Linked DNA regions of Astyanax mexicanus. The main gene of each other region encodes a partner of the protein of the gene in region 2 in a complex. Links are inferred from orthologs where the notes say so. Each region holds a gene or a part of one and is shown on either strand. Other genes may lie near its edges. The genes, in order: lamtor4, lamtor1, lamtor2 and flcn.

The links.
Region 1: lamtor1 (region 2) and lamtor4 share a complex: the UniProt entries of both Homo sapiens proteins name them as parts of the ragulator complex. The link is inferred for Astyanax mexicanus from reciprocal best matches to the Homo sapiens genes LAMTOR1 and LAMTOR4.
Region 3: lamtor1 (region 2) and lamtor2 share a complex: the UniProt entries of both Homo sapiens proteins name them as parts of the ragulator complex. The link is inferred for Astyanax mexicanus from reciprocal best matches to the Homo sapiens genes LAMTOR1 and LAMTOR2.
Region 4: lamtor1 (region 2) and flcn share a complex: the UniProt entries of both Homo sapiens proteins name them as parts of the lysosomal folliculin complex. The link is inferred for Astyanax mexicanus from reciprocal best matches to the Homo sapiens genes LAMTOR1 and FLCN.

The regions. Positions count from the first base shown.
Region 1 is NC_064409.1:35,731,693-35,739,182, reverse strand, and holds the start of lamtor4 (ragulator complex protein LAMTOR4), read right to left. Parts: upstream 3,012-7,490; 5' UTR 2,887-3,011; coding exon 2,884-2,886; intron 2,496-2,883; coding exon 2,415-2,495; intron 2,279-2,414; coding exon 2,161-2,278; intron 939-2,160; coding exon 841-938; 3' UTR 1-840. Other genes in the region: atp6v1f (V-type proton ATPase subunit F), read left to right, coding at 4,453-4,610, 5,753-5,954. UniProt on the Homo sapiens protein: As part of the Ragulator complex it is involved in amino acid sensing and activation of mTORC1, a signaling complex promoting cell growth in response to growth factors, energy levels, and amino acids.
Region 2 is NC_064425.1:12,520,697-12,528,138, forward strand, and holds the start of lamtor1 (ragulator complex protein LAMTOR1), read left to right. Parts: upstream 1-4,424; 5' UTR 4,425-4,588; coding exon 4,589-4,630; intron 4,631-7,442. Other genes in the region: lrrc51 (leucine rich repeat containing 51), read left to right, coding at 1,175-1,380, 2,247-2,395, 3,012-3,150. UniProt on the Homo sapiens protein: Key component of the Ragulator complex, a multiprotein complex involved in amino acid sensing and activation of mTORC1, a signaling complex promoting cell growth in response to growth factors, energy levels, and amino acids.
Region 3 is NC_064408.1:115,893,919-115,901,107, forward strand, and holds the start of lamtor2 (ragulator complex protein LAMTOR2), read left to right. Parts: upstream 1-4,184; 5' UTR 4,185-4,298; coding exon 4,299-4,366; intron 4,367-6,081; coding exon 6,082-6,244; intron 6,245-7,189. UniProt on the Homo sapiens protein: As part of the Ragulator complex it is involved in amino acid sensing and activation of mTORC1, a signaling complex promoting cell growth in response to growth factors, energy levels, and amino acids.
Region 4 is NC_064413.1:8,017,670-8,025,237, forward strand, and holds the start of flcn (folliculin), read left to right. Parts: upstream 1-4,551; 5' UTR 4,552-5,025; intron 5,026-6,055; coding exon 6,056-6,259; intron 6,260-7,568. Other genes in the region: leng9 (leukocyte receptor cluster member 9), read right to left, coding at 2,432-2,486. UniProt on the Homo sapiens protein: Multi-functional protein, involved in both the cellular response to amino acid availability and in the regulation of glycolysis.

The DNA.
Region 1 (7,490 bases), on a different chromosome or scaffold from region 2:
AATATTTTATTCTACCTTTTAAATCAACTCCAACAACCCACAGAATGGGCTCAGCACTGTTAATAAAACACATCACGTCTCAGTTACTTCCGGGCTGACCCATCTAAGAAAACCATTTGCTTGCTTCCCCCTGCTACCCACCAGCACTTGCAATAATACTTTACTCAGAACATGAACATAAATTAGCAGAAGCAATATTAAACAGCAAAACCGAGAAATTAGTTCATGATATTACTTTTAAAAAGCAGTAATTTAATAAAGGTTTGTTAAATACAGACATTAGCTACTTTCACTTCTGGAAGAGCTGGAACAAACAAAGAATAAACAGCCTGATCTTCAGGGCTGTATAGATCATCAAACCCACAGAGAAAATTACACATATCTATAATAATAAAAGATCAGTGCCATCATCCTCAGAAAAAAGCAGAAGTGCCTCTGGATTATGTGGACAACTGGACATAACCCAAAAGATGTCATATACTTATAAAAGGGGAGCTTAATCAATTCAATTCGTTTTAAAAAGTAGTTCAAATAGGTTTTGCAAAAGTGAGACGCTGTTACAGTCACTGTGAAAATGTCACAGATATGTGCAATATTTCTGTGAAGTGTGAGAACAATTATATAGACCACATTTTCATGCCATTTATTACCACCAGTTGTGGGGGAAAATGCAACTAGAAAATGAATCCCTAACTGTAGACAAAAAAAGCACACTATAAGAATTACAGTATGACTCTTCTTAACTTTACATTGTTATCATGTTATATATGTGTGTTATTTAAACAGATGGCACTTTACAAGCGTGTGTGTAGTCCGTTAACTTGTAACGGCACCTCGCTACTAGACATTAACAGGTTCCCGTTGGTTGTTCTGCCGTTTCACTACAAAGACTTTCTGTCCAGAAATCGTCACTGCATAAATATAGTCCTCGAACATCACTGTGGACAAAAAATACAAAGAGTGTGATATTACAACATTATTATTTGTGTAAAACCAGTCATTAACTATGCATTGAATCAACTAATGATTTGAAACAGGATAACTTTAAGCAGGTTGCTCTGTGGTTTGGGCAGGTTTTGGACAGACCTTATCATTCAATGTTTTTATTATTTTGTTTTTCCCTACGTTGTCATTCAGACTATGAAGGAACACAGAAGGAATCATGTAGTAAACTTAAAAGTGTTAAACAAACCAAAATATTGTGTGAATCGTTTAGATGGGTGCTGTTAACTTGCAATTTCTTGCAGTGCAACAGAGGTAACTTTTGGTCTTCCCTTCCTGGGGTGGTTCTGATGAGAGCCAGTTTCATCATAATTTTTTCGATGGTCTTTGCAACTGCACTTGAGGATACTTTCAAATTTCTTGGAATTTTTCAGATTTAGTTCAAGTATTCAACATAAAGTATTTTTATCTTTACTTAGTTGAGTATTTCTTGCCATAATATGGAAGAACTATATGGCTATTCACTTTAAACATCTGATACTCTCAAACACATTAAGAGGCAAGAAATTCATGTAATTAACTCTTGACACGTTCAGCACAGCTGTTAACTGAAAGCCATTCCAGGTGATTCTACCTCATAAAGCTGACTGACAAAATCCAGCCAAGATGTGCAAAGCAAGAGCAAGAGTGACTCTGAGGAATCTAAAATATAAAACATATTTTGGTTTATTTAACACTTTTTACTAAATAATTCCAAGTTTTTCTTCATAGTTAAATTTAGTATTAATCTACAAGGCAGATAATTTTATCCTGATAAAAAATACACTAAATTTAATGTGTGTCCAAACCTTTGACTTTCAAACCTTTGCATATACAGATGAGGCTCAAAGATGACCAACAAACTTTGCAGCACCAAAGAGCTTCTCTCTCTAACTTTACATCTACACGGTGAAGCAGCTAGGTAGAATTGTTTAATAGAGTGAACATAGAGTGTCATACCAGCGAAACACACACTAACACACCATCACCATCAGTGTGATGCTGAGAATGATAATCTGATCATTGAAGAACAGTGTGAAAGGAGGCCGACACAATATGCAGAGAAACAGATGAAAAACACAAGCCATTAAACTAAGCTGAACTGCTTGAATTTTGAAGTGGTCTTTGAGAATCTGAACCCTGGTATACAGAGATTTATGGTCATTCAAAATCTCTAACCTGACATGCGCTTGAAAGGTGGCTCTGCTGCTCCATGAAGCCTGAAGCGACAAGCTGTTCGGACCATCTGCATGATAACCCCTGCGGTGTGCTCATCGTTCTCCAGCTCTCCTGAAGACTGAGAGGGAAAAAAGCACAGAAAAAGCCTCCTGTGAACTCTCAATTTAATGCTTATGTTCTTCAGCTCTGTTAAATTTGCTACAAGTGAAAAAAAGTCATTTTTTTGTGTACATATAGTAATGAGTAACACTTACTGCAAGTACACCATCCTCACTGATCACCAAATATCCTATCTGATCAGGTATTCTCTCCAGACCCTGAGTCAGTGCTGTGGTCTTCAGTGGAGAGAGGGAGAGGGAGAGGAAGAGAGAGAGACAGAGAGAGAGAGAGAGAGAGAGAGAGAGAGAGAGAGAGAGAGAGAGAGAGAGAGAGAGAAAATAGGACCAGCTTTATAACATTAAAACAACTTCAATCTCCAGAAGACAAACAGTGAATAAAGACACTATGTGTAACTACTGGATGTGATGTGTTGTTTAGGGGCTGTTTCAGGAGCAGCAGAGAAGAGTGAAAGAAAACTACAGAACTACAGTTATTAACAAAACACACACAGCTGACAGCTGACTACACACCCCGGAGAGCTTCTACCAACAGAACACACATCAGAGAGTCTCTATTAAAGAAAAATCTACTATTTAAAAGAGAAAATAAAGCAAATTCACACACCATGGTCGGTCCTCCCCTCAGGTCAGATCAGGAACAGATACAAACGATTATTATTTTCCGTCTTGTGTCTCTCACGTGACGCTGGAGGCTTCTTCTGTAGTGGTGAGTCACATGGTGTGTGAACACATCGCCGCCTACTGACATAAAATCATCTCCTACTACTACTTTGTGAAGTATCTTCAGTTTTTTTGTTCTACGTGCAATCAACTCGAAATAAAATAAAATAAATCAACTAAAATAAAATAATAAACTAAACTAAACTAAAACAATAATAATAATATAATATAATATAATAATAATAATAGTAATAAACTATAGTAAAATAAACTAGTAAAAAAAACAAAACAAGCAAAACCAAATAAGAAAATAAACAAAAATAAGAAAGAAAATAAGAAAGAAAATAATTAACTTAACTAAACTAATATAAAATAAGAAAACAACAATATAGTAAGAAAAAAATAATAATAAATAAAGAAAATAAAAGGAAAAACTAACTAACTAAATAAAAATAAATATAAATAAATGAAAAAAATAAACTAAAATAAACAAAATAAAAATAAATAAACAAGCAAAGCTTAATAAGAAAATAGATAAAAACAAAAAATAAATAAAGAACACTAAAATAAAAAACAAAATATAAAAAAAATAAAATAAAATCTAAATTCTATTTATAAAGCACATTTTACAACAACAAACTCTGACCAAAGTGCTGTCCAGTAATAAATAAGTTAATGAACACATATATATGTATATACATGTATATAAACATATATTTGTAATCATCTATTTATTTGGTGGGTGTCCCTTATTTTCATTTCTGATAGGTGGCGACCCTTACTACGGAAGAACACTTATTATATTTTCATTATGTATGTTCAAGTAATCATACTGTAAGAAATTTAATGAATGGGACGGCAAATGTATGAAAATTGCCTATTTGGTTGTATATAGATCAGAATTTGGTCCTATAAAACAAGAAAATCAAAGAGTTATCATATCAGACCACTAAATTAATAAAGATCCCATTCTCATGTTATAATAGCTAATGTGATATTACTATAGCATTCTGGAATAATGGGACGTTAAACCTAGAAAAAAAATGCCCATTTGGTTTTGCATAAACCAGATTTGGAGTTCTATAAAACCAGCTAATCAAACTGTTATTAAAAGATACCATTACATTCTCAAAGAAGCCTTTCTATTCTACTAATGACATAAGTATCAAGTATTACTGTAGCATTGTGGAGTAATGAGAGCTCAAACTAAGGAAAAAAAAGTGGGTTGGGGCACCACAAAGAATTTTGCCTAGGGAGCCTGGATGGCTAGCCCTGGCCCTGGGTCTGTGCATTCTGGAGTAATGCCCTGAGTAGTATCTGGCAGCAGCAGTGCTGGTGGTGTTGAGTCTGATCTGAGATCAGTCAGCTATTTTAGCTCTGCTGTGGAAGGTAAAGCGGAAGTGCTGGTCAGCTGACTGCAGCATATGATCCAGGGTGAAGACAGCAGCAGGAGTAGGCGGATAGATTTCTGTCTGTTATTTGCTGATATTTCTTCTCACCGCCGCGATCCGCCATGGCTGGACGGGGTAAGCTGATCGCAGTGATCGGGGATGAGGACACCTGCACGGGCTTCCTGCTGGGGGGGATCGGAGAGCTCAACAAGAACCGTAAACCCAATTTCTTGGTGGTGGAGAAGGACACCAGTATCACAGAGATAGAGGAGACCTTCAAGTAAGACCTTATTTTCCTCCTCCTGAGCTTCACCAGCGCCGCGCTCTGTTTCAGTCTTATCTCACCGTCCTCAGTCTGAAATGTTTATAGAGGAACTGATTTAAGCGTCGATCGTTTCCCCACTTTAGCCGTATTAGCTATGCCAACTAGCATGCTAAGCTAGCTTTATAGGCGCAGCTAAGAGCAGTAGCTAAAGGGTGCTAAACCTGCTTTAATTTACTGTTACTTGTGGGTTCGACCCATGTGTCTTTAGTTTAGTGTAACATATAGATATTTAATTAACTATTGAACGGTTAAAGAACAAATAAACTAGCAATATAAAGGCAGCTAGCCTAGCTAAACTAAAATAATCTGGGTTAGCTATTAACCTGTATGTCAGTATCCATATATACAGAGTATAGCAGTATTGTGAAGAGAGGGCTCTATAAATAAACTGGAAGTGCTTATTTAAGCATAACGTTGACATAGGTTGTCGATAAGTTAAAATGTTTTGTCAAAACCATTGTGTGTATATATATATATATATATATATATATATATATATATATATATATATATATATATATATCAATCCCCTGACCTAAACCCAACTGAGATGGGTGCAAATTATCCAATACTAAGTATCTTTTTTTTAAAGAAAGAATGTGTGCCCTTGCATTCAATAACTACTGTGACCCCTCTGAGCAGCTACAACTTCAAACATTTCTGGCAGCCCATTTGGTGTATAATTCTGCACAATAATCTGGGGAAATTTTTGGCTATTCCTCCTTACAAAACAACTTGAACTGAGTGATGTCTTGAACAGACTTCCTCTTTCCTATTCTGCCATGTACAAAGTATTTGCTTAGTGTTTGCCTGATGGAATCATGACATTTCTCAACGTGGTCTTTTCATTTTAATGGAGAGAGCTGCAGCCTGCCACAGTGCACTGTGTTGCACCAAAAGCAGCTTCATTGTATTTCTAAAAGCGTTCTGTAGATGTTAACCACAGCAGTGTAAATAAACATGCTGGACAGTGTAACACAATTAAAGATGATGTCCATTCACCCTATTGGTTCCCTGCATAATGTTATATAAGATATTTGTTGTAGATCAAAATCTGGTTTACAAGTATCATTTATTTTGTTTATTTATTGAAACAGGAGTTTCCTGGCTCGCAGTGACATTGGCATCATCCTCATCAACCAGTTCATTGCAGAGATGATCCGCCATGCCATCGATGCCCATATGCAGTCCATTCCCGCTGTGTTGGAAATCCCGTCAAAAGAGCACCCATACGACGCTTCCAAGGACTCCATCCTGCGCAGGGCCAAGGGCATGTTCTCTGCAGAAGATTTCCGATAAGAAAAAGAACTGAAAGAATTAAGACCTAGACATGGCAGGAGATGGGAGAGGAATAGCGCTAGATGAAGAGCAGCTGATATTTGATGGATTTCTCTCCCATATCTTGCCTGAGTTGGTTTAAATACAGAATACTTCTGTAAGTGTTAATGTGTATGTTATTTAGTGTCTTTGTCTGTTATGTTGGATAAAGTGAAATGGGGTAAGTGTGTACCAGTGATCGAACACCTAACTGGATTGTGTAACTTGTGATTCTGTGATTCCAAATATTTTTTCAGTCACATTTAAATTATAAATGGTATATGTAAATTATAAAATGATATAATCTATAAATCTGTAAGTTTATTTATTTAGACTGAGCTGTCAAACATTCCATTTTACTTACAGCAACTTCCATTTAGGAGTGTATAATCAAATTATGAACAAATATTAATATTTATACAATTATTAATCAAATATTATACATATTATTATATACATATATTAGGTGACCTGATGATAATACATCCTGCTTTGTTTTGTTTTTGTATTTGATTAATCCTTCAATATTACTTCATGTCCATACATATGTGCGTTAACTTATTTGTTAATAACTGCAAGAGAGAGTCTCATGTTCATTAAAGAGCATATGTCAAATCTGGTTTCATTGTGACAGTTTTTTCTTTTCTCACCAGAAATTTGTGCATTATTTTGATTTCTTCCTAGGCCCTAAAATAGATTGGATGGATAACTTTAATACTTTCGGATACATTTCGAAAGGAACTGATGCAATCATTGGAGAAAGGAAAAAAATAGCTTGTTCACGAATAAGAAACAAAATGGTCTGCATTGTGGTGCAAAATATGGTGTAAAAATATTCTAGATCTTTTCAAGACATAACAATGAGATGTAGTTGGATCAGGTTGCTTCTCTTCAGTAAAGCAAAACCCCCGGCAATACCACATAATACATTCATACCAGTGCCACACACAAAATTAACACTACTATTTTAGTGTCATTCCTGTATGGAAATGAACACAACACAACACTTACCTGTCCTATCTATGCATTGTATGTGAGCACCAGTATGGAGACTGACAAAGCTCTTGCTGTGATTGACAGTGATATGCATGTATCTAGAAGTTCATCTCTGTATGCTCTTCTTTCATCACTGATGATATTGCTTCTTTGATGCACTTTGCTGCACCAAGTAAAGAGGAGCCTAACTTTACCTACACTACACAAGCTGTAAAACTGGTTTTTACATTTCATGGGAGGCACCAACAGATTCCAAAAACCCATTTCTTTCTCCCCTGTGTTTGGTCAGCTCTACTGTACTGTAAATAAAAACATGAACACTTTATTATATAAGAAAACATCACAGCTTTGTTTATACACTTGTCCATTATCAGCTTCACTGATTATACAGGAACACTGTAGTTCTACGATTACAGACTGTAGTCTCTCGGTTTCTCTGCACACTTTATTATCCTTCTTTCAGACTGTTCTTCGGTGGTCTGGACCCCATAGGACAACCACAAAGCAGGTATTACGTATTTG
Region 2 (7,442 bases):
TCGGATTGCCCAAAAAATGTTCTTTAAAATTGTCCTTTAAAAATATTTATTTTGATTTAATCACCATGTGGTAGAGGGCTCTACCACAAAGCAGGATTGGTCATTTAGCCAGATAACTTGAGCCTAAAGTCAAGTCTGTCCATTAATAAAACAGCTGAGGGGCATTCCTATTGGCCAGTGCTTAACTATGGGCTTTAGATGTCTGTCTAACTGAGAAAGTGTGCTATGTGTTAAATCTATCAGATTAGTTTAGTTTCCTCTGAGAGTCAGATGTAGTGCAGTGGGAGTGTAGTATCCTTACTTAACATTACTACATTATGTTATGAAAGGTGTTAAAAGCCTGGGCCACAAAAATAATAAAAGTTGACATATGATATGTAAGTAAATGCACTGTTTTTAACTTATTTTGCTTAAATTCTGTCTTCAGCACTTATTGACACTGTTTCCCAGACTAGCACTGGAATACACAGCATTTTGAACTAGGATTTTAATTGAAAGGAAAATATACTGGAGAATAGTCTATACAACTAGGATTGATCCCTGTCTGGGTTTGGAACTGGAAACTGGAAAAGTACAGAAATTAGTTATTTAAAAGTACTGTGGACACACATTGAACAGCCACAGTTTTTTATTATTATTATTATTTTATTATTTATTGTTGTGTTTATTTACCATAAAAAAGTGTGTTTCACTTAAAATATTAGTCCTCCTTATTTTTTTTTGTGAAAATGCTAATGGGGCAGTTTTCTTGCCAGGGATTAAGACTATTCTTAAACCCTGCTATGTGTTAAATCTATCAGGTTATTTTGTTTCCTCTGAGTCAGATGCAGTGCAGTGGGAGTGAAGTACCTGTTTGCGCAGCTAGAAAGAGACAGATCACAGTGTGTTTATTCAGTAGGTTAGTGAGGGAGTGTGGAATGCAGTGAATTTAGGTCTGTAGATTGTTTTTTCTCCAGATGTTCTCCAGCATTGGTGGTATAGTGGTGAGCATAGCTGCCTTCCAAGCAGTTGACCCGGGTTTGATTCCCGGCCAACACAGATCTTTTAACTTTACAGTAACCAGAAGATTTAAATTCTGTTCTAACAGTTTACAGCTGTGCTTCAGCAACATATATATATATAGAGTGTCTGTTTTGACTGTTATTAAAGTGTCCTCACTTTCCTCCTCCGTCAGATGTGGCGTTGGAGGAGCCGAACACATCTGTACGTCCACTCAGGAGGAATCCGGATGGGAAGTTCAGCAGCAGTTCACTCAGACTCAACAATAACATGATTGTCAACCTGCAGGGCCTGACCGACACCCTGTCCACTCTCCTCTCCAAACCCCAGCGCCTCGCCTGGCTGGACCTGTCCTTCAACTTCATCACACACATTCACCCGGTACACACCAGCACACCTGCACAATACCCTAGTCATGCTTAAGCCCCACTCATTCAGGCTACAGCAGTTTACTCCCACTCATTCAGCTTACAGCAGTTTAGCCCCACTCATTCAGCCTACAGCAGTTTAGCCCCACTCATTCAGTCTACAGGAGTTTAGCTCCACTCATTCAGTCTACAGCAGTTTAGCTCCACCCATTCAGTCTACAGCAGTTTAGCCCCACTCATTCAGTCTACAGCAGTTTAGCTCCACTCATTCAGCCTACAGCAGTTTAGCCCCACTCATTCAGCCTACAGCAGTTTAGCCCCACTCATTCAGCCTACAGCAGTTTAGCTCCACTCATTCAGCCTACAGCAGTTTAGCTCCACTCATTCAGCCTACAGCAGTTTAGCTCCACTCATTCAGCCTACAGCAGTTTAGCCCCACTCATTCAGCTTACAGCAGTTTAGCTCCACCCATTCCACCTACAGCAGTTTAGCCCCACTCATTCAGCTTACAGCAGTTTTTAAATGAACTTTATTAGAAATTCTAAGCACATACAAAGTTAAACATCACAACAAGATGAAGAAATATATACAAGACAGCAATTCACATTCAATAAAAATGTCATTTCACACAGTTTAGCCCCACTCATTTAGCCTACAGCAGTTTAGCCTCACTTATGCAGCCTACAGCAGTTTAGCCCCAACCATTCAACCTTCAGCAGTTTAGCCCTCTCTCTCTCTCTCTCTCTCTCTCTCTCTCTCTCTCTCTCTCTCTCTCTCTCTCTCTCTCTCTCTCTCTCTCTCTCTCTCTCTCTCTCTCTCTCTCTCTCTCTCTCTCTCTCTCTCTCTCTCTCTCTCTCTCTCTCTCTCTCTCTCTCTCAGGTCCTTACAGAGCTCTCAGAGCTACGGGTGTTGTATCTTCATGGTAACAGTATACGTAAGCTGTCAGAAGTGGACAAGTTGGGGTCGCTGCCATACCTGCACACCATCACTCTGCATGGAAACACTTTGGAAAGCGAGCAGGGCTACAGGTACAGGCTTTCTGGTTACACTTAAGATGGCCCTGATTCTCTAACAGTTAGGACTGCTGTGTCTGCACCGTATGAAGCAGTATTTAAGGTGGAACCAATAATTTAGTAATTTCCAGTGATTCATTGATACATATATTTTGAGCCTCTCTTAAGATTGTGGCTCTGTCCCAGTGAAGCTAAATTGTGCCTACAAATACCATACAAATATAGAAAATTACTGAATTAAATAAATTAGTAAAGACCAGAGGTACACTATATTGCCAAAAGTATTCTCTCACCCATCCAAATCATTAAACTTAGGTTCCAATCACAAAACCAATCACCTAGACATGCGTGGTACCGTGATAGGATGCAGCACCTGTGCAACAAGTCCAGTCTTGAAAGACAGCCATGCAGACAGACTCATGCACTGGAGACTGAGCAGCTCCATACAAGCTTCACATCACCAAACACAGCAATGCAGGACAGCAGATACTTTTTTTCTTTCTGAAACTGGATTAGCCACCTTAGTCTGTATGTCTGTTTTAGTTTTTATTTAAGATTTAAAAAGAAAAGTGTGAAGAGCTCACTGAGTAACTCTGATTTGTTTTCATTTTCATTTGTACCTGTCTAACAGGGGATATGTGATCTCTGTTCTTCCTCACCTGAAGATGATGGACTTCAGCGCTATTACTAAAGAGGAGAAAATTCTGGCCTCCATTTGGCAACGAAGCAGGAGGAGCCGTGGAATCACTGATCACAGAACAGAAGGTTAAGGCGTCTCAGTGGAAACTAGTCTGAGCATGAAATAAGTCTATTGTACATTAAAGTTTTCAGGACATTCTTCTGCTTACTAGAACAACATTGTGTGCCACTTTTTCCAGCTGTAATAATGCATATTTGTGTAGCAGAACAACAACACACACTGAAAGCTAGCCAACATAGTGGAGGTAGCTTCACACACTGTTACTGTAGCTAAGATCCCAAAATAAAAAAATACACTCTCTCCATATACACTAACATGCCAGATGTCATGTCATTTCTGGCAGAATATCTGTCTAGTGTGGGTGGTGATATCACCTTGCTGTTTTGGACACAGGTGGATTAGAAACACACTGTAGATGTGATGTTAATACAGTCTAGTTAAATTTTATGTTGGCTGATATTTGGTATTTTCTACATGTTATAGTGTTATATAGTGTACAACTTTAAAGAGTATTATAGTACGTGTTAGTGCTTAATATAATATTATACAGAATAGTAGAACATTATATAACATTATAAATAATAAAAGAGTCTTAAAGCTGTATAAAGCTTTATGAAACCTTACAGGGCTATATAGAACATTATACAACTAATGTTGAATAATATTTGCTTTAAAGAGAGCAATATGTTTTTTAGAACATTACAGAGCTTGGAGGAAAACAACAGCGATAACTTTTTAGATCATTATAGCGCTTTAGAGAACATTTTAAGGCTTTATAGCACGTTTAATGTCCTTATAAATGTTTTAAGACCTTTATAGAACATTGTAGATCATACAATGTAAAATTAGTTGTTAAATTAGTGTCTAAACAAATAAATAAACAAACAAATGTCCCTGATAGCAAAAGGACGATAAGTCATTGAAAATTGATTTCTTTTAGGCTGATTCAACAGTGATTCAATGTTATATTTTTATGTGTTGTTTTATTAAATATGTATTTTGATTGTATTTCTATGCAGTGTAAAAAGGGTCATTTAAATAATAATTATTAATATTACTTTTAGTGTGAATCACCTTTGACCTCTAAGTTTTTTGAGTGTAGATTTAGATTCAGAGCCCCAATCATTCTAAACATTTAAATGAACGTTGATTCAATGGTAGAATTTAAATATTAACCGATATGCCTATGAGGCAATGTTATATAAAGGTTATTTTTACACTTGTTTTCCCCATCAACCTTAGAAAGATTCAATGCAACAAAAGAAAACAGAAAACAAAAACGTTTAAAAAACGTTGTATGGTATCAGGGGTTGCACTGTCACGCGCCTCCTAGGCGTAAGCGGCAGTAGTCCTGGTGTAAGCAGGGTGTCATGTGATAGTGTATCCGTTAGCAGCCAAGAGCAGACACACACAGCTCCAATCCGGATTCTTCACTTTTAAAACGCTTTGAAACGGTTCGGATCCGGTTCTACAGCCCCTGCAGGAGAAGCTGGAGACACACTGAGCCCATGGGGTGCTGTTACAGCAGCGAGACGGAGACCAACGACCAGGTGAGGGAGCAGCTAGCTGGAGACATAGCTTAGCTTAGATAGCTGGCTAACATGCTAACAGGCTAACAACAGACGCTCCTGACCTCAATTATCAAGTTTATTAAAGAGTGTAAAAGATTAATGAGCGATTTATAGGAGGGTTAGAGAGATTATACACGAGTTCTGTGCATTTGGTTGAGCTGTGAGGTTAAATCTGGTAGTTTAGAGGGGTGCTAGTTAGCTTAGCTAAGGTGAAATAACCTGGGATAGGTTAGCCTAGGTAGTTTGAGCAGGATGAGGTGTGCTGCCAAAATTAGTAAATAGCTAAATATCTATAGTTAGTACGGAGCCCTAGATGGGACATTGTCTATTTAAGTTAGGTTAAAAAAATTGGTGAGCACTAGATAATAAGTGGTGGGCACTAGATAATAAGAAGCACAGCACAACGTAGCAGTCTGTGAAGTTATGTAGTTAGCTACAGACCAAGGAACATAGTATCTGGTGCTCGCCACTTAGTGTACACTTAGTATATTTGGTGCTCACCACTTAGTGTATATGGTGCCCACTACTTAGTAACTGGTGCTTTTGTAGAGAGAGTTTTTTGAGGTTCAGACTTCACTTGTAGTACATTGTCCTCCATTAAACCAGGAGTTTAGTCATTAATAAAAAAAAAACACATTTTGTCTGTAAAAAATCTACAAAAAAAACGAGTCCTCAAGTCAGTCCTGCTGGAGAAGAGAGGGAGAGGGAGATTTTCAGAGAAAACACTGCACTGACTTTGGACTTGATATAACACAGTGGATCAACACCAACAGATGACATGCCTTTCCAAACCATCACTGATCATCAGTAAATTTTAAATTTCATTTGGAAATCAAGGGACCAGAGTCTGGAAGAAGAGTGGAGAGACACACAGTCTCATCTCATCGGCTGGTGTTGATCCATTGTGTTATGCCAAATCCAAATACAGTGCAAAGTGTTCCCGGAAAAACTACCAGCTCTTCATTCTTCCCTCTGCTGACAACTTTTATAAAGATACATATTTAATTTTCCAGCAGGACTTGGCACACTGCCCACACTGCCAAAAGTACCAATTGGTCTCATATAATATTCAAATTTTCTAAGACACTGATTTTTGGGTTGTCATTCGCTGCACGCCATAATCAACAATAAAAGAAAAAACGCTTAAAATAGACAATTCTGTGTGTAATATGTGTATATAATGAGTTTAACATTTTTAACTGCATTACTAAAATAAAGTAACTTTTCAATGATATTCTATTTTTTTGACATTCACTAGTATAGGTATTTAGTAAAATAGCTAGTGTCCAGTAATGCAGATATACAGATTGATATATTTAGTAAGGTGTATAAAATAAAAGAAACAGCTGTATGTGCACTGTAAATGTGCTTTACATCATCAGATGATGCTTAAATGTGAAGCGCTTTCATATTCGAGGACTACAGTTGCAAAAAAAGTATGTGACACCTTTGGGATTACATGGCTTTCTGCATAAATTGGTCATTAAATCTGTTCTGCTCTTCATCTAAGTCACAACAAGAGACGAACGCAGTCTGCTTAAATGGTTTTGGATTCACACAAATTTATAATCAACATTGTTAATATAGAGTAATCATTCCAGCCCTTCTTTTTGACCAGGCTATAAACAAGAAGTGGAAAAAAAGTGTCAGGTTTAGTCACAGTAGGAGTGCGTATGAGTGTGTGTGTCTCTGTCTGTCTAAGTAAGACAATAATGACCACGAGATGCATGGTTCTGCAGGGTTCTGCTCCTCTGCTCTGTATCAAAGTTCAGCTATAGATAGCCTGGGCTGTGGTTTACCTGCCAGAAAGTGGGGCATGTTTGGGGAGGAGGAGGTCTGGGTGTGGGGAAGTGTGCTGGAATGTCTGGTGAAGTAACAGGTGCCCTGGTGCAATTCAGTAACGGCTGAAGGAAGTGCGGAAGAGTTCTCTCTTAACAATTCTTTTGTGTTACTTGGGTGGTTGTGATTTCTGTAGGGATGTCAAATATCATATCTTTCACGATAAAGCGATTAAGAAAATTCACATTTTGATCATAGAGCTGTTCTGTCTTAAAAGCAGTCTATTTTGTATTGTATAATTGTTTATGCTTGCAATTATATGCATGCACAAAAAAGTCTGCACCTGACTATTGTCTTAGATTTTTATTACTTTACAATTATTTTTATGGTACGTTTCATTATTTTACATTTATTATATTGTTTACAAAATAGAGAAAAGCTTACAGATTTCTTTGTGTATTGAATGTTTAAAGGTGTTATATTTATGCAAAATAAAACTAAAAGATATAATTTGTTGCAGTAGTATGTCTTGAAATATGTTGAATATGTTTCTGTGTTTTGTCTGTCATAATGTCAAGAATATCGTTGTTGCAAAATGCGATATTTTGAATTGTAACCCCTGTATCTTGCTAGGGAGTGTTTTTAAGGGTTGTTAATGTTTTAATATGTTTGTTTGTAGATTTGCAAGGGTGGCTGCTGTGATATCTCTGATAGTTGCTGGTATTCAGCTATTTAATTGTGTTCTAAACAGTTTCTGTAATAGTTCAGGATTGTTTAAAATGGCCAGAATCAGCCACAATTTGCAGATTTCTTGACAATCCATTTTAATCAGGTGTGCTTGAACAGGAAAAGCACAAACTATTTAGGACTTGGATTGCCTGTTCCTGTTGTAAGTGGTTGCTATGGTATCTCCCATTATTGCTGTGGTTTGCTAACAGGTCATTATTCCGTTCTGGGCTGATTTTTATTCTGTTGCTTGGCAGTTTCTAAGTTGTTTCTAGATGTTTGTTGC
Region 3 (7,189 bases), on a different chromosome or scaffold from region 2:
GATAAGTTACTTTGTCAGTAATTCAGTTCAAAAAGTGAAACTCCTATATTATATAGATGTATTACAAACAGAGTGATCTATTTTAGGTGTTTATTTCTTTAATTGTTGATGATTATGGTTTACAGTCAATGAAAACCCAAAAATCAGTGTCTCAGAAAATTTTAATATTATATAAGACCAGTTGGTACTTTTGGCAGTGTGGGCAGTGTGCAAAGTCCTGCTGGAGAATGAAATCCACATCTCCATAAAAGTTGTCAGATGCAGAGGGAAGCATTAAGTGCTGTAAGATTTTGTGGGAAAACAAAACTGCACAGACTTTAGACTTGATAATAAAACACAGTGGATCAACACCAGCAGATGACATGTCTCTCCAAACCATCACTGATTGTAGAAACTTCACACTAGACCTCAATCAGCTTGGACTGTGTGTCTCTCCACTCTTCCTCCAGCCTCTGATCCCTTGATTTACAAATGAAATGTAAAATTTACTGATAATCAGTGATGTTTGGAGAGACATGTCATCTGCTGGTGTTGATCCACTGTGTTTTATTATCAAGTCTAAAGTTTGTTTTCCCACAAAATCTTACAGCACTTCATGCTTCCCTCTGCTGACCTTAACTTTCATGGAGATGTAGATTTCATTTTCCAGCAGGACTTGGCACACTATGTACACAGCCAAAAGTACCAATTTGTTTTATATAATATTCTAATTTTCTGAGAAACTGATTTGTGATTTTCATTGACCGTAAGCCATAATCAACAACAATAAAATAAATAAACGCTTAAAATAGATCACTCTGTGTGATATATATATATCTATATGAATGATATTTAGATTATTTGAGATGCACTCATATTTTTATTTATAGACCATATGAGTATTTGTTTGATGCATTGTGGGTACTGCAGTGTGAGAGAACATTCAAACATGACAAGGATACAAACTCAGGCATTTGCAGCCTGTCAAGCAAGTGAGGTTGAGGATGCAGTGCTTAAGTACAGTATACGCAGTCATGCCAAATGTCATGGAACTGGTATTGTGTCCCATGACTTTTGCAATGTTTAATTGAGGCTAAAGGACACTGCATTTAATATGCATACTGTATTGAAATGGGTGTGATTGATTTATGCCACAGTTGCTTAACTGTTCACACAGACAGTTCAAGCCAGATGCTGCTGGACACCAGCATTACCACCCACTGCAATTTTCTGTCCACTGGGGGTGGTAATTACTGCTTATGATGTATTCCTGCTACACTGTAGATCAAGGAATGGTAAATATCTCATCCATCTGCTCCCACTATCAGTCCTCCCTCCAATTCCCATAATTCACTTTACCTAACATTCAACCCCACTCACAAGATAACACCTCACAACTTATACATATGTGGGCATTCACAAGTTCCAAAATTCCCAGAGGTAACACTTGATCCATTAACATACTACTGTCACATGACTTGTGACATGTATCCTAGTATTACAAAACATAATATATAAGATTAAATATCAGAATTGTCCCTCAAATAAGTATTTTTTTATATTGAACATAGAATAACCAATAATTAGAATAGCTGAATAAAATGTCAGCACAAGCCACCAAAACTGCTTAGAGAAACGTACATTAGTTTAAATAGCTTCTAGCGTTTAATTTCCTTGGGCTTACGACTACTGGTAGTTGCTTTTAAATTAGAATTAATGCGTTAATGTGTGAGCACTAGTACATGTCTCTGAAATTACACCCTAATCCACCCTAATTTTGAATCCCAGTTTGTTCAACAGTTGTCTTGTGACTCACGTCAAGAAGTCATTAGTTACATATAACATATAGGGCTCTATCTTACACTCTGTGTAAAGTGCGTAGTGATGCTAATTGCTATCTTACAACCCGTCAACAGTCTTTTTTTCAGCCTGTGTCACTAAAATAGCAACAGAGTTTAAGAATATATCTACGGCAATGGGCGTGGTGGTCTGGAAGTGAGGTGTGTTCAGGTAAATATCTGGTGTATTGCTATCTTGGCAGTGGCAAACACAGGTGCTCCACTGACTGATTTAAACCCTGTCAACAGTCACCAGTCAGACGTCCATACCTATCTTAGCAACTCTGGGTGCATTCTGTGTGCTCAGCACACATACACTATTTGTTACACACAGCTGCAGTGCACAAACCCAACCTTTACATCAACAATAAACAAAATCAAGAAAAAAAATATAATTGATTTTCCTGTTAAATTGCTGGCTTACCTTCACAGCGTAAATGAGCAGGTCAGTTTCCTCTAAAGAGATGCGCAGAAGAGATGCACCCTTGAAATAGTGCACCTGACTCTTAAAGGGAAAGGCAAGTGACACCTGCTCTTAATCAATTTAAGAGAATTAGTACATGTCATACTTTTTCTAATGTTATGATAGCAAAAACACACTGGCATGCCCTCAATTAAGCTGTGCGGTGCATGGTTGAGGCTCACCTGTAGATCGCTAAAATAGGGCCCATAATAAGGGGCGGATTTTACCACCACGCAAACCACGCAATTGCTTGGCCAAAAGGTTGGCAAAAAAGAAAAAAACCTGCATTATTTCTCTATTGTTTGACACCGAAGAGACACTGTACACGCAACATTAAGCTAGGCGAGGTAGACTAAGGTACCTTTGGCACAACCATTAAACGGTCTTAAAAACAACCAATTTTCAAGTGTTTCACACTGAAGGAATGTTTCCTTCAGGATATTTACAGGACTTTAATGGAAGTCAAAGTAAAAAGATTTTATTAAATTCAAAATGATTTTGGAGAATTTCTCTTGGTCCAAACAACAGAAATTATTTTTTTTCCATGACATCAGCAGTGTGTCAGTCCTAATGGCACAGTACAGAAAAAAATTAAACACAAGTAAAGTAATGGATATGAGACATTTAAAAGGAAAACCAAGAATATAGCTTTACAGTAGGACATGCTTATATCCCCTACTACAGTGCTGTGAAAAATATTTGCCCCTTACAGATTTCTGTTGTTTTTGCTTTTTTGTCATACTTATAATTATCACTACATTTACAATACTATGTACTTAAATTTTCCAAAAATTGCAAAGCCATTGATCATCTATCAGTCTGGAAAAGGACCACAGTGAGAGCTATAATTCACAAATGGAGAAAACATTGTACTTTTTATGTTTATTCATGCTATCTTTGTCTGATATTAAACTTAGTTTGAAAATGTAAGTATAATAAAAAAAAGCACAAAAAAACATAAATCTGTATGGGGACTAATACTTTTTTACAGCATTGTATATACAATATTTATGATCAGCTATTTTCATCTACATATCTTTTATCATTTCAATAAAAACAACCTTTTTATATTTAGTTTTATTATAAAGATGCATAAATGAACTGTCTATACTCTTTTTTGTATCAAAAACAAACTGTGTATTCTCTTTAGTTTGATGATAAAGCTGCATAAATTAACTACCTATGATCATTTTATCAAAAACAAACTGTTTCTATAGTTTAATTATAAAGATGCATAAATGAACTACCTATGCTCATTTTATAAAAAATAAACAGTTTGAAATCTTTAGTTTATTTATAAAGGCACGGAAGTAAACTATCCATGCTCATTTTATAAAAAACAAACTCCTTAAACTCTTCAGTGAAATTATAAAGGTGCATCAATTAACTACCTATGATCATTTTATCAAAAATAAATCGTTTGAAATCTTTAGTTTAATTATAAAGGTGCATAAATGATCAATCTATACTCATTTAGCCAAAAACAAACTGTTTGTACTCTTTAGTTGAATTATAAAGACACATAAATGAACTAGCTATGCTCATTTTATAAAAAATAAACAGTTTGTTCTCTTTACTTTAATTATGAAGACGCATAAATGATTGATCTATACTCATTTAGCCAAAAACAAACTGTTTATACTCTTTAGTTTAATTATAAAGATGCATAAATGAAATATCTTAATTATAAAGGTGCATAAATGAACAATCTGTACTTATTAAGCTAAAAACAAACTGTTTATACTCATTTAGTTTACTTATCAAGGTGCATACTTAACTATATATGCTCATTAAAAAAAAAAAAAACCTTTTTGTACTCGTTAGTTTAAGTATATAATTGTATGAATAAACTATCTACGCTTATTGGGCCCAAGACTACATTTCCCACAATCCCCCTCGTGCCTGTGTTGCGGAAGTGTGTTAGTCAGCTGATGTGTGTGTGTGTGTAAGTTAATGCTGGCTGCTGTAAAAGTCCTGGTTTCTGTAGTATTTTGAGGGATTTACTGGGTTTTCTGATCATGTTAAGACCTAAAGCTTTAACTCAGGTGCTCAGCCAGGCCAACACTAACGGAGTCCAGAGCACGCTGTGAGTATTATCCGCTCCGTTTACCGCAGATGTGGAAATATTGTGGCTAAGGTTGCTAAGCTAACTCGTTAGCTTCATTAGCTAGTATAGGTTCAGAGTGAGATAAATATATAGAAACACAGTGAAATCAGTTTATTAATGTGGTTTAATGTTTGTTTACGTGTTAAATCTGCTTCAATCGATATGATAGTGTCAGTGTTAAGTAAGCAGCGCTTCTGTTTCTGATTAATTTATCTTCTTAGCATAGCTAGCTAGCTAACCTATCTAACCTAGTTAAGTATAAACCAGTTAATGTACTAAAGGTTGTTTTTATACAACAAATAAAGTAATTTAAGACATTCACATCACTGTTTTGCTTTAGTAAAGATAATATAAATTAAATGGGAATTAAATGGTCAACCTAGTGTCAAGTATTAAGGTATAAAAAGTAATAAAGCTTTTGTTTAACAAAATTTGCGAATAATAGTTTTTATATGATATAACATCAAGTTTTAAGCCACCCTAGATGTGTAGAAACTGTTGCTGTAGTAAATGTTATTAATAATAGTGATAAATTGCGATTACTTAAACTTTTTTTCTCCGTAAGGCTAAGCTTTTAATATATATATATATTTTTTTTGTGTAAATATCACATCAGTATTATATTTTCTAAATTAAGTTATATATAATAGGTGTCATTTGTTAAAAAAAATGTTATTTAATTATGAATCATATCATTATTCAAATACTTTAAATGCAGGTATTTCCCTGTATTTTTTATTTTTTATTTGTATGTGCTGACTTACTAAGTTTAAAAGTGAGCTTTAATGGAGGAAGTAAATGTTAGTGTAGCTCCATATTCCACATTCAAAAATGTATAAAGAGGAAATGTTCTGAACTCTGCAGTAGCAGTGCTGTGTTATCATGCTACATAAAAAAATGTAGTAGGATGTACTGTTGCTGCTAATTGTCTACTTTTTTTTAGGGTATTTATCTTTATCTTTATTTTATGGAAGCCCATTCCCGCCACTTAAAAAAAAAAAAAATCCAGCATTTTTTTTATTATTATTATTAAGTAAACTGCAATATCTCGATATTTTGACACAAGTCATTATTTTGAGAAAGTAAGTCATTATTTTGACATACTATCTCAATATTTTTTGATACTAAGTCATTATTTTGAAATACTATCTCAATATTTTGAGATAATAAGTCATTATTTTTGAGATACTGAGTCATTATTTTGATATACTATCTCAATATTTTGAGATACTAGTATACTGTACAGAGACAGAGGCAGGTGAGACAAAGACGCACAATGGATACTATTACTATATAGCGGTTTACTTAATAATAATAAAAAAAATGTGCTGGATTATTTTTTATTTTTTTAGGTGGCGGGAATGGGCTTCCATACTATTTGGTATATTCTATTTTTATTGTTTTTTTTTTTATTTTGTTATCTTATTTTATCTATATATCTATTTTAACAACAGCTCTTGGGTGTAAACTGGATCATGAGATCACAATTTCGTTCCACCTCATGTACCACGTGATGCAAATGACAATAAAATCTCCTTGAATCCTTGAATTAATGTATCTTTATGAAGGTCTAAACTGCATTGTTAGGCTTCTAACTGGGCAAAAACTTGTCAGGACAGCGGATGTTGTGTTGGTTTTGATGCTTGCTGTAACCAATTTTCCGATGTCACTTTCTTTCTTTCTTTCTGTGTTAGGTTACTAAATAATGAAGGGTCACTTCTGGCCTATTCTGGCTATGGAGACACAGACGCGCGAGTAACTGCAGCTATTGCCAGCAACATCTGGGCAGCCTATGATAAGAACGGACATCAAGCCTTCAACGAGGACAAGCTGAAGTTTATTCTCATGGACTGTATGGTAATAACTGTCAAAAAAATCAAAAATCAACTTACGGTCCTATGTTTACAGTTTCTATTTATTTATACTTGCGGTTTGTGGGTGGCTTGTTTGTTTAGACATCTATTCTGTAGATTTCAAGTGTAATTAATGTAGTCTGGAGTTCCTCTACCCACTATCAAAGCGCCTTGCCATGAGCATGCTGACCAGTAGTCATCCTAACTCACAAGGTAACACCTCACAAATTATACAGGTGTCTGAATTCCCACTTCATTATCAATTCACAAACTCCTGTCACATGATATTTGAAGTATATTTGAAAAGTTTTGTTTAGCAAATAAAGCTTTTTTTCTTATATACACTACTGCCTTTTAAAATGTTTAAATAATATTTAATTGTTATGATTTTATAGCAGTTGCACAAATGATCACCTCCTACTTAACTTAATAACCCATTGCTGAGCATGCCAAACTTTTGCTGATGGGGTCCATTCAGATTCTATTCATTGATCATACTGGACTACTAAATTACCAAATAAAAAATTTGATTGTATAAGCTGATACTGACAGTTAACAAAACATTGGCAAAAAATTGTAATGCATCATACAGCTCAGGAAAAAAAAAGAGACCACTTAATTGAAAACCTCTAGAATATAATTAAGAGGAAGATGGATGATCACAAGCCATCAAACCAAACTGAACTGCTTGAGTTGTTGCAGCAGGAGTAAAGGCATAAAGTTATCCAAAAGCAGTGTGTAAGACTGGTGGAGGAGAACATGCCAAGATGCATGAAAACTGTGATTATAAACCAGGGTTATTCCACCAAATATTGATTTCTGAACTCTTAAAACTTTATGAATATGAACTTGTTTTCTTTGCATTATTTGAGGTCTGAAAGCTCTGCATCTTTTTTTTTGTTATTTCAGCCATTTCTCATTTTCTGCAAATAAATAAATGCTCTAAATG
Region 4 (7,568 bases), on a different chromosome or scaffold from region 2:
TAAATATGTTCAGAACCCTGTACGTTTTATTCTGTGTAAATTTTCTTCCTGAACAACACTGGGTCCTCTGATTTTCAAGATTGTTTAAGAGTTGTAATCAGAAAAATGCTAGCTTTAAGCTAATGCTACAGTGCAGCTGCAAAGATCGGCAGGGGACTTTTTTCAGCACAACACCAGAGAACTCTGGCCATAAGTTTACATCATATTAAACTTAGCTGATCCAACTAATGAACTAACTGCCCTCACTGAAGAGAGCTGAGAGTGTTACAGCAGGAAATCACTAAAACAGGACAGTGATACTCCAGGAGCCAGCTTTAAACACTGTAGCATGTTTTAACATTTACTCTCTTTATTATGCAGTGAAATAAATAAAAAATGTTTGGTGTTTCTGTCTCGTTGGTTTAGTACCTTAAGCCAAGTTAAGGTTTGTCCATATAATAGGATTCAGTGAAAAAACACATATTAAGGTTTTTTATCTTAAGTATTTTAGACTCTTTGGTTTCTTAGATAGTTAGCTAGCTCTGTGGTTTTGGAGTAACTCTCTCCTGCTAGTTTTCCTGCTTTATCACTCAGCTCGCCTCAGCCAGCAGATAGGTAGTTGATTAGTTGATTAGTTATTTGTTGGTTGATTATTTGGGTCATGTGTTGTAATTAGTATAAAGTAATGACCCTAATTAAATACTAAACCCGCTGGGAAGCGCTACTCCTGAACTGAGAGCCACTCTCTCTTAGTATCTGCCTTTTAAAGCTCTAACACAGACTACACTGCTCAACGTCACTATACTGAAAGAGTTTCACCTCTCTAAACGCTTTAATGATCCTCTGTGAAGAAGAAGAATAATCCAAAACACGATCCAGCCGGAGTTCGCTGGTGTACTGCAGAATCGAGTCCCCTAGCATTCACTGCTGCTGTGCTGTGACGTCAGTTAAGTATTAGCTTAAAGCTAGCATTTTTCTTATTACTACTCTTAAATAATCTTGAAATTCAGAGGATCCAGTGATGTTCAGGAGAAAAAATGTACATAGAATAAAACATACAGGGTTCTGAACATATTTATTTGCCACATAATGTGACAAGAGGCCAATTTTTGAAAAGCCCATACATTTTTTCCATTTAACAGAAATTCTTAGACACAGAACCCTAAATATGGGAAAAAACAACATGGTGCCGACTAAAAAATTACGACACAACTTCAGTGGTCTATAATAAAACACATTTGTAGACACAGTGTGAATCACAGCACAGAAGTATTGGGTGTGTCTGAAAGTGGAATTATACTGTCTGTGAGTTTTTAATCCCAGCTTTAACCTTCACTCCTTTTTCAGCCCACCCCAGAATCTGTAAAAGCACTGAAAGAACTGAGCTTCACATTCAGAAACGACTTCAGTAGAGTTTACCTATTTAACTTTATGATACAAGGTGAGGACATACCTATCTGACCTTTGAACTCTTGACAGTTCATGAAATGGTAATGGCGCACACAAACACACGTGTAATATTCTTAATACTCATTATCAAACCTATGTTGCTCTGTTAATATTACTAAAAGCCCCTGGTAACATTGTTAAATACTAAATGTGTGTGTTTTGAGAAGCATATAGTAAAGTTAAAATAGAAAACACAAAGCAAGAATATGACAAAACACTCCCCACAAATCACCAAAACGCACTCCTCTCTTCACACCTCTCTTCAGAGACCGGTGTGGGTGTGGCAAACAAATGTTTGTTTACATTACCATGGCAACACTCTACCTCAAGATAGAATCTGCATCCAGAACTGCTCCCCATTAAAAAAATAGTGCAATATATGAAACTTATTCTGTGTAACAGGGGTAACTTTTGGTCTTTCTTTCCTTGGAAGGTTCCGATGAGAGCCAGTTTCATCACTATCAAAATGTAGCGTACAGACAAGGTATGCTTGAATTTCCCATGTATACCATAACAAAATGGGGGGGTGTTTTAAGTGACAGAATGAAAAAAAGTTTCACACAAACTTTGTTGCTTTTTTATGAAGCAGTGTTTCTGAGCGTAGTGTCCGCTCAAAGTCATTTGGCCATCTCCTAGTGAGTTCAATATGTAGCAAATGCTAGTGAATGATTTTATTTTTTTGCTTAAACGGTTGCTAAGCGACAGCTCACAAACTCACAGATTCTGGTTGCTCAGACTCGAAGAGAGGGGGCAAGGCTATGTTAGTAACCTTGTGATTGGTCAGGTTTTTTGCTGATGCCAGCCTGACCCACTTTCAGACAAGCCGACTCCACATCCAGGGTAGAGTATTAATATTGTGTCTACTACTACTACTACTACTACTACAACAACAACTCATAATAATGGCATATCTAGTAACTGGTCCTTGAGCCAAAAGGTCAGTGCTCAACAGCATACATACAGGGTGATATTGTGAGGGTTTGTATAGGTTGTAAAGAAAGACCTATTTGGGTGTGTGGATCTTCTATGAGGGGATTCCCTGGTCCTTCTTCTTCCATGACAGATGGTGTAATCTGGGAAACCACGGGGATGTCCACCTCAGAGGCCAGAGCTGATCTAGGTTCAAATAAAGGCCTGTTATTCCTGACAGTTCCTAAAACAGGAACTGGAAATAGTCTAAACACACTTCAGGGTGTTACATAAGGAGGAAGAGATTAAAACTGAACCCAAAAAGACAAACACGACTAAACTTTCAATAGGAAAGTAACGTTAGGTAAAAAACATCCAAATAGAAGCACAGATGATTATTCATTGACAGTAAAGCAGTCATATAATAAAGGACGGTAAGGTAAAAGGTCTAAACTGAGTTCCTTGTTTGAACTCTCAGGTCCACCTTAAACGCAGAAGCAGATACGTACCAACGCCTGGAGACCCACTGTGCAACTGCTGGAGCATTTAAGGTGGAACGGACAATTCCAACGAGAACTTTAGCTTCATTTAAGGGTGAAAACACTACTAAACGTACTGACCTCGACTATATAACATATACAACGTTGTTATTAACTTAAAACAACAACCAAAAACAATAGTTGCCGTTAGAATTCGGTGCGGATTCGCTTACCTTAAAAACCGACTCTTACAAAAGCTGTCTAAATGCATACATAAAAGTCCCTTATAAAAATAAATAAAAAAATAAATAAAAACAATATTTCACGTACTTTAAAATGTTTTATATACGACCATTAACAAAAGTTACACCGGTGTAAACATCTAGAATCAACAAATATATAAGTTAGAGCATAAATATTTAACTAAATAAAAATAGAGTTAACGCTAGCTAACTAGGTTAAGGTAACGTAATGTTGCTGGTGGTATACGCTATATATAGTTATATATGTTTACAAAAATAAGTAAAATACTGGTAACACTTTACAATAAGGGTACATCAATAAACAGCACCTTATGAGAGTGATAAACATTGTTAAATGTTTTAGTAATGTCACAACTAACTAGCTATTAAATGAGTTTCTTGTTCAATTTTCACTTCCACCTTAAAAGCAGCAGCGGATACAGCAAGGGATATGTACCAACTCCTGGAGACCCAACGTGTAACGGCTGAAGCATTTAAGGTGGGACGGACAATTCCAAAAGAAGCTAACTTTTACACAAACTTCGACTATATAACCTATATATTAAAATATTAAGCAAAAATAACACCAAAAACAGTTATAGTTAACGTTACCATTCGGTGTGGATTTGCTCACCTTAAACACCGAGCCGGTAACCAGGGAGTTTGATGATTGCTAGTGTGAGCGTGTAAGTGTGTGTGTATTAGATCCAGGGGAATATTTCACAATGACATCATCTGACGGGATACCTGACACGTGTTTTAGCTGAAACTGTACAGAGAGGAGAACTCCCACTCGAGAATGTGTTCCAGGTTTGCTGGTCTACCAGAGGGCGCTCCAGAGTGAGTTTAAAATAAATGAATGTAGCAAAATTATACTTTATTAATGCTTAATAATTTTTCATACTGAAAATTGTAAGTTACTTATTTTCTCAACTCAGAACAATATTACATGTTTTATTCCTACACACATATTTTCTTAAGCTTTTAAACTCCATTTACAGTGGTATGAAAACCTTTGGGCACCCCTGATCATTTTTATGATTTTTCTTTAGAAATCTTTGGTTGTTAGGATCAGCAATTTCAGTTAAACATATCATATAGCAGACGAACACAGTGACAACTGTGAAGTGAAATGAAGTTTATAGGATTTACAGAAAGTGTAATATATTCCCGAGTGAAATGAAGGTTTAATAATTTACTGATTCCACAGTAGTATTTTTAAGTGTGATTTCTTAGAAAACAGAGTGTAATAAAACAGGGAGGTTAAGATACTTTTATTTGCTAGCTAACATGTTTTTTATTTTTTTTACTGGATTTATGATAACTAAAATAACTAAAATCTGTCAAATTAGCAAGCGTATTTTAAAAGATATTTTTAAAAAGTATAAAAAAACACACTAGCGCCATAATGAAATTTTACTACACAGAGTCCTACCTGAGCTTTTCTTTGTGCTGCTGTAATCAGTTCTAAAACGAATTAATTTTGTTTAAATAATAATAGTTTACAAGAGGGCTTTTATTTTGAAGGGAGAGTCATTTCACGGACCTGCAGCTGTTCGCTTTGTTATGGAGGAAGCGCGTGACTGCTCGTCACGTGACAGAGGGGTCTGAAGATGGAGTAATGGAGAGTTTATTGTGAATTTGGGGGAATTATTAACGTTATAAATCTGCGGGGACGGCCTGAAAGCGGGCAGAATGCAGTAACATGTGGTCGTACTGTGATTTATCACCTGTGAGAGCATTACCTGTGGTGATTCTGCTGTTATAGTTTTTATTTATTGGGTGAATTAACGCTGATTAACTCACTCTTGAGTTCTGTTACCTGATTTACATCCTAATAATCACAGTTTAATTAATAAGTCTGCTCATCAGAGAGGCGATTAAACGCGTTATTACTGATAAACAGAGCGCAGGAATAGAGGAGCCTCCTGTTCAGAAGTCTGGGTGTTACAGAAACAGTAAATAAGGTACGTAAACATGATTTACACTTTGTTACCTACTACATACAGTAACTTGTGCTTCTACTCAGTGGCCACTTTATTAGAAACGCCTACTACAGTACCTTGTGCGTCACCTCAGTGTGGCCACTTTATTAAAAAACCTACTACATACAGTACCTTGTGTTTCTCCTTAGTGGCCACTTTATTAGAAACACCTACTACAGTACCTTGTGTTTCTCCTCAGTGGCCACTTTATTAGAAACACCTACTACAGTACCTTGTGTTTCTCCTCAGTGGCCACTTTATTAGAAACACCTACTACAGTACCGTGTGCTTCCACTCAGTGGCCACTATATTACAAACACCTACTACAGTACTGTGTGCTTCTATTCAGTGGCCACTTTATTAGAAACACCTCCTACTGTACCTTCTTTTTTTTACTTTTTGTGTCCACTTTATTAGAAACACCTACTACAGTACCTTGTGTTTCCATTTTTTGAGGCCACTTTATTAGAAACACCTACTACAGTACCTTGTGTTTCCACTTTTTGTGGCCACTTTATTAGAAACACCTACTACAGTACCTTGTGTTTCCACTCAGTGTGGCCACTTTATTAGAAACACCTACTACAGTACCTTGTGTTTCCACTTTTTGTGACCACTTTATTAGAAACGCCTACTACAGTACCTTGTGCGTCACCTCAGTGTGGCCACTTTATTAGAAACGCCTACTACAGTACCTTGTGCGTCACCTCAGTGGCCACTATATTAGAAACACCTCCCACTGTACCTTCTTTTTTTTCTTTTTTTTTAAACTTTTTGTGTCCACTTTATTAGAAACATCTTCCACAGAACTTTGTGCTTCCACTCACTCTGGCCACTTTATTAGAAACACCTACTACAGTACCTTGTGCTTCTCCTCAGTGTCCACTTTATTTAAAAAAAAAAACCTACTATTTGCTTCCACTCTGTGGCCACTTTATTGGAAACCCATAAAATGTAATTCTACGGACTGGGCCATTTTAGAACCACCACGTTGTTTATTGTTTATCCCCAGATGAATGCTTTGGTTGCTCTTTGCCATTTCTGTGAACTGCACGGGCCCCGGACCCTGTTCTGCACCGAGGCCGTCCATCCACCAGCCCCCTCGCCCCCTCAGCCGGGGTCCGCCCTGCTGGGCGATCGGGAGGCAGAGAGAGAGGGAGAGGGGCTGACCATGAGGGCCAACAGCTCTGCCACACAGAGAGCCGACATGTGTGAGGTGAGAGAGGCTGTGAAGTAGTTTATATACACTTGCGTGGCCAAAGGTTGGTGGATAATTGCTCATCTAAAGTTTAGATATCAAAACCAAGAGTAATGAATGAGTTCAAGGCTCCGTACTAACTAGTGAGGGGACAATCCACCTTTTTGAGCTCTGATCCGATTCCGATATAAAACTGATATAAAACTGCCGATACAGATACAAATACAGATAAAAGGGCTCTTTTAGTTTATTATTAGTACTATGATTAAGGTTACATAATAATGCTGAAACAGACCACACAGCCAATTGAAGTGTATACACAAGTGCATTTAATGTAAAGTCATTTATTTCACGCACTTTATATACAAACACACAATAGTTTTCTTTCAAATTAAATATTTAAATTTTTATCAAATATAAAAAAAAAGTTCAATATGAAATGTGTTAAATATTAAATACATGGCTCTAGACTAATCTTTTTTGCACTGGTCGCGCAGGACTCTTTTATTTTCGCACGTAGCGTAGTGGATTAGCTGCAATGGCTGCAATAAATTAACTAAATTAATGGCTGTTTTTAATAACAGATGGGTGTGTTTGTGCTGGTTAGTGTTTGTAGATCCTGTGGTTTAATGGGATATCTGGATTATGACTACAGTTTACAGTCTGTAGTTAATACCTTTACAACACCAGAATGCAGCTGTCAGTGCAATGTTAGCTAGGCTAACAGACTGCAGATGTTAATGGAGATGGCTAACGGCTAACCAGCGATGCTAACTGTATTTCCGAACTAAATTAATCACTGTTTTTAACAGCAGATGTGTGTGTGTGTTTGTGCTGGTTAGTGTTTGTAGATCCTGTGGTTTTATAGGATATGTAGATTACGTCTATAGTTTACTCCAGTAGTTAATATCTTTACAACACCAGAATGCAGTTGTCAGTTTAATGCTAGCTAGGCTAACAGACTGCTGGTGTTAAACTCTCCAGATTTTTTTAAAGACAAACAGCTAAAGCTGCTAGAGGTTCAGGGTAAACTGTTAAACTGGAATCCGGATCAGTGATGCGTTTAGTGTTTATGTTACTGCTGGTTTATTGTTCAGCTCAAGCTGCGGACTGTAGTATGTATCGGTAAGTGGATAGACCGCGGTCACCCGATATCTGACACCCTGATTACATCAATATTGGCCCCGATATTGTATGTTAACTCACAATAGCACATTAAAAACCAGGAGAAGTAGAAGTAAATTTACAGAATATATTAATAAACACATTGGGTTTAATTTACTTTATTGTTTTGTATTATTTGTTCTTTAATTTCCATTTATAATTG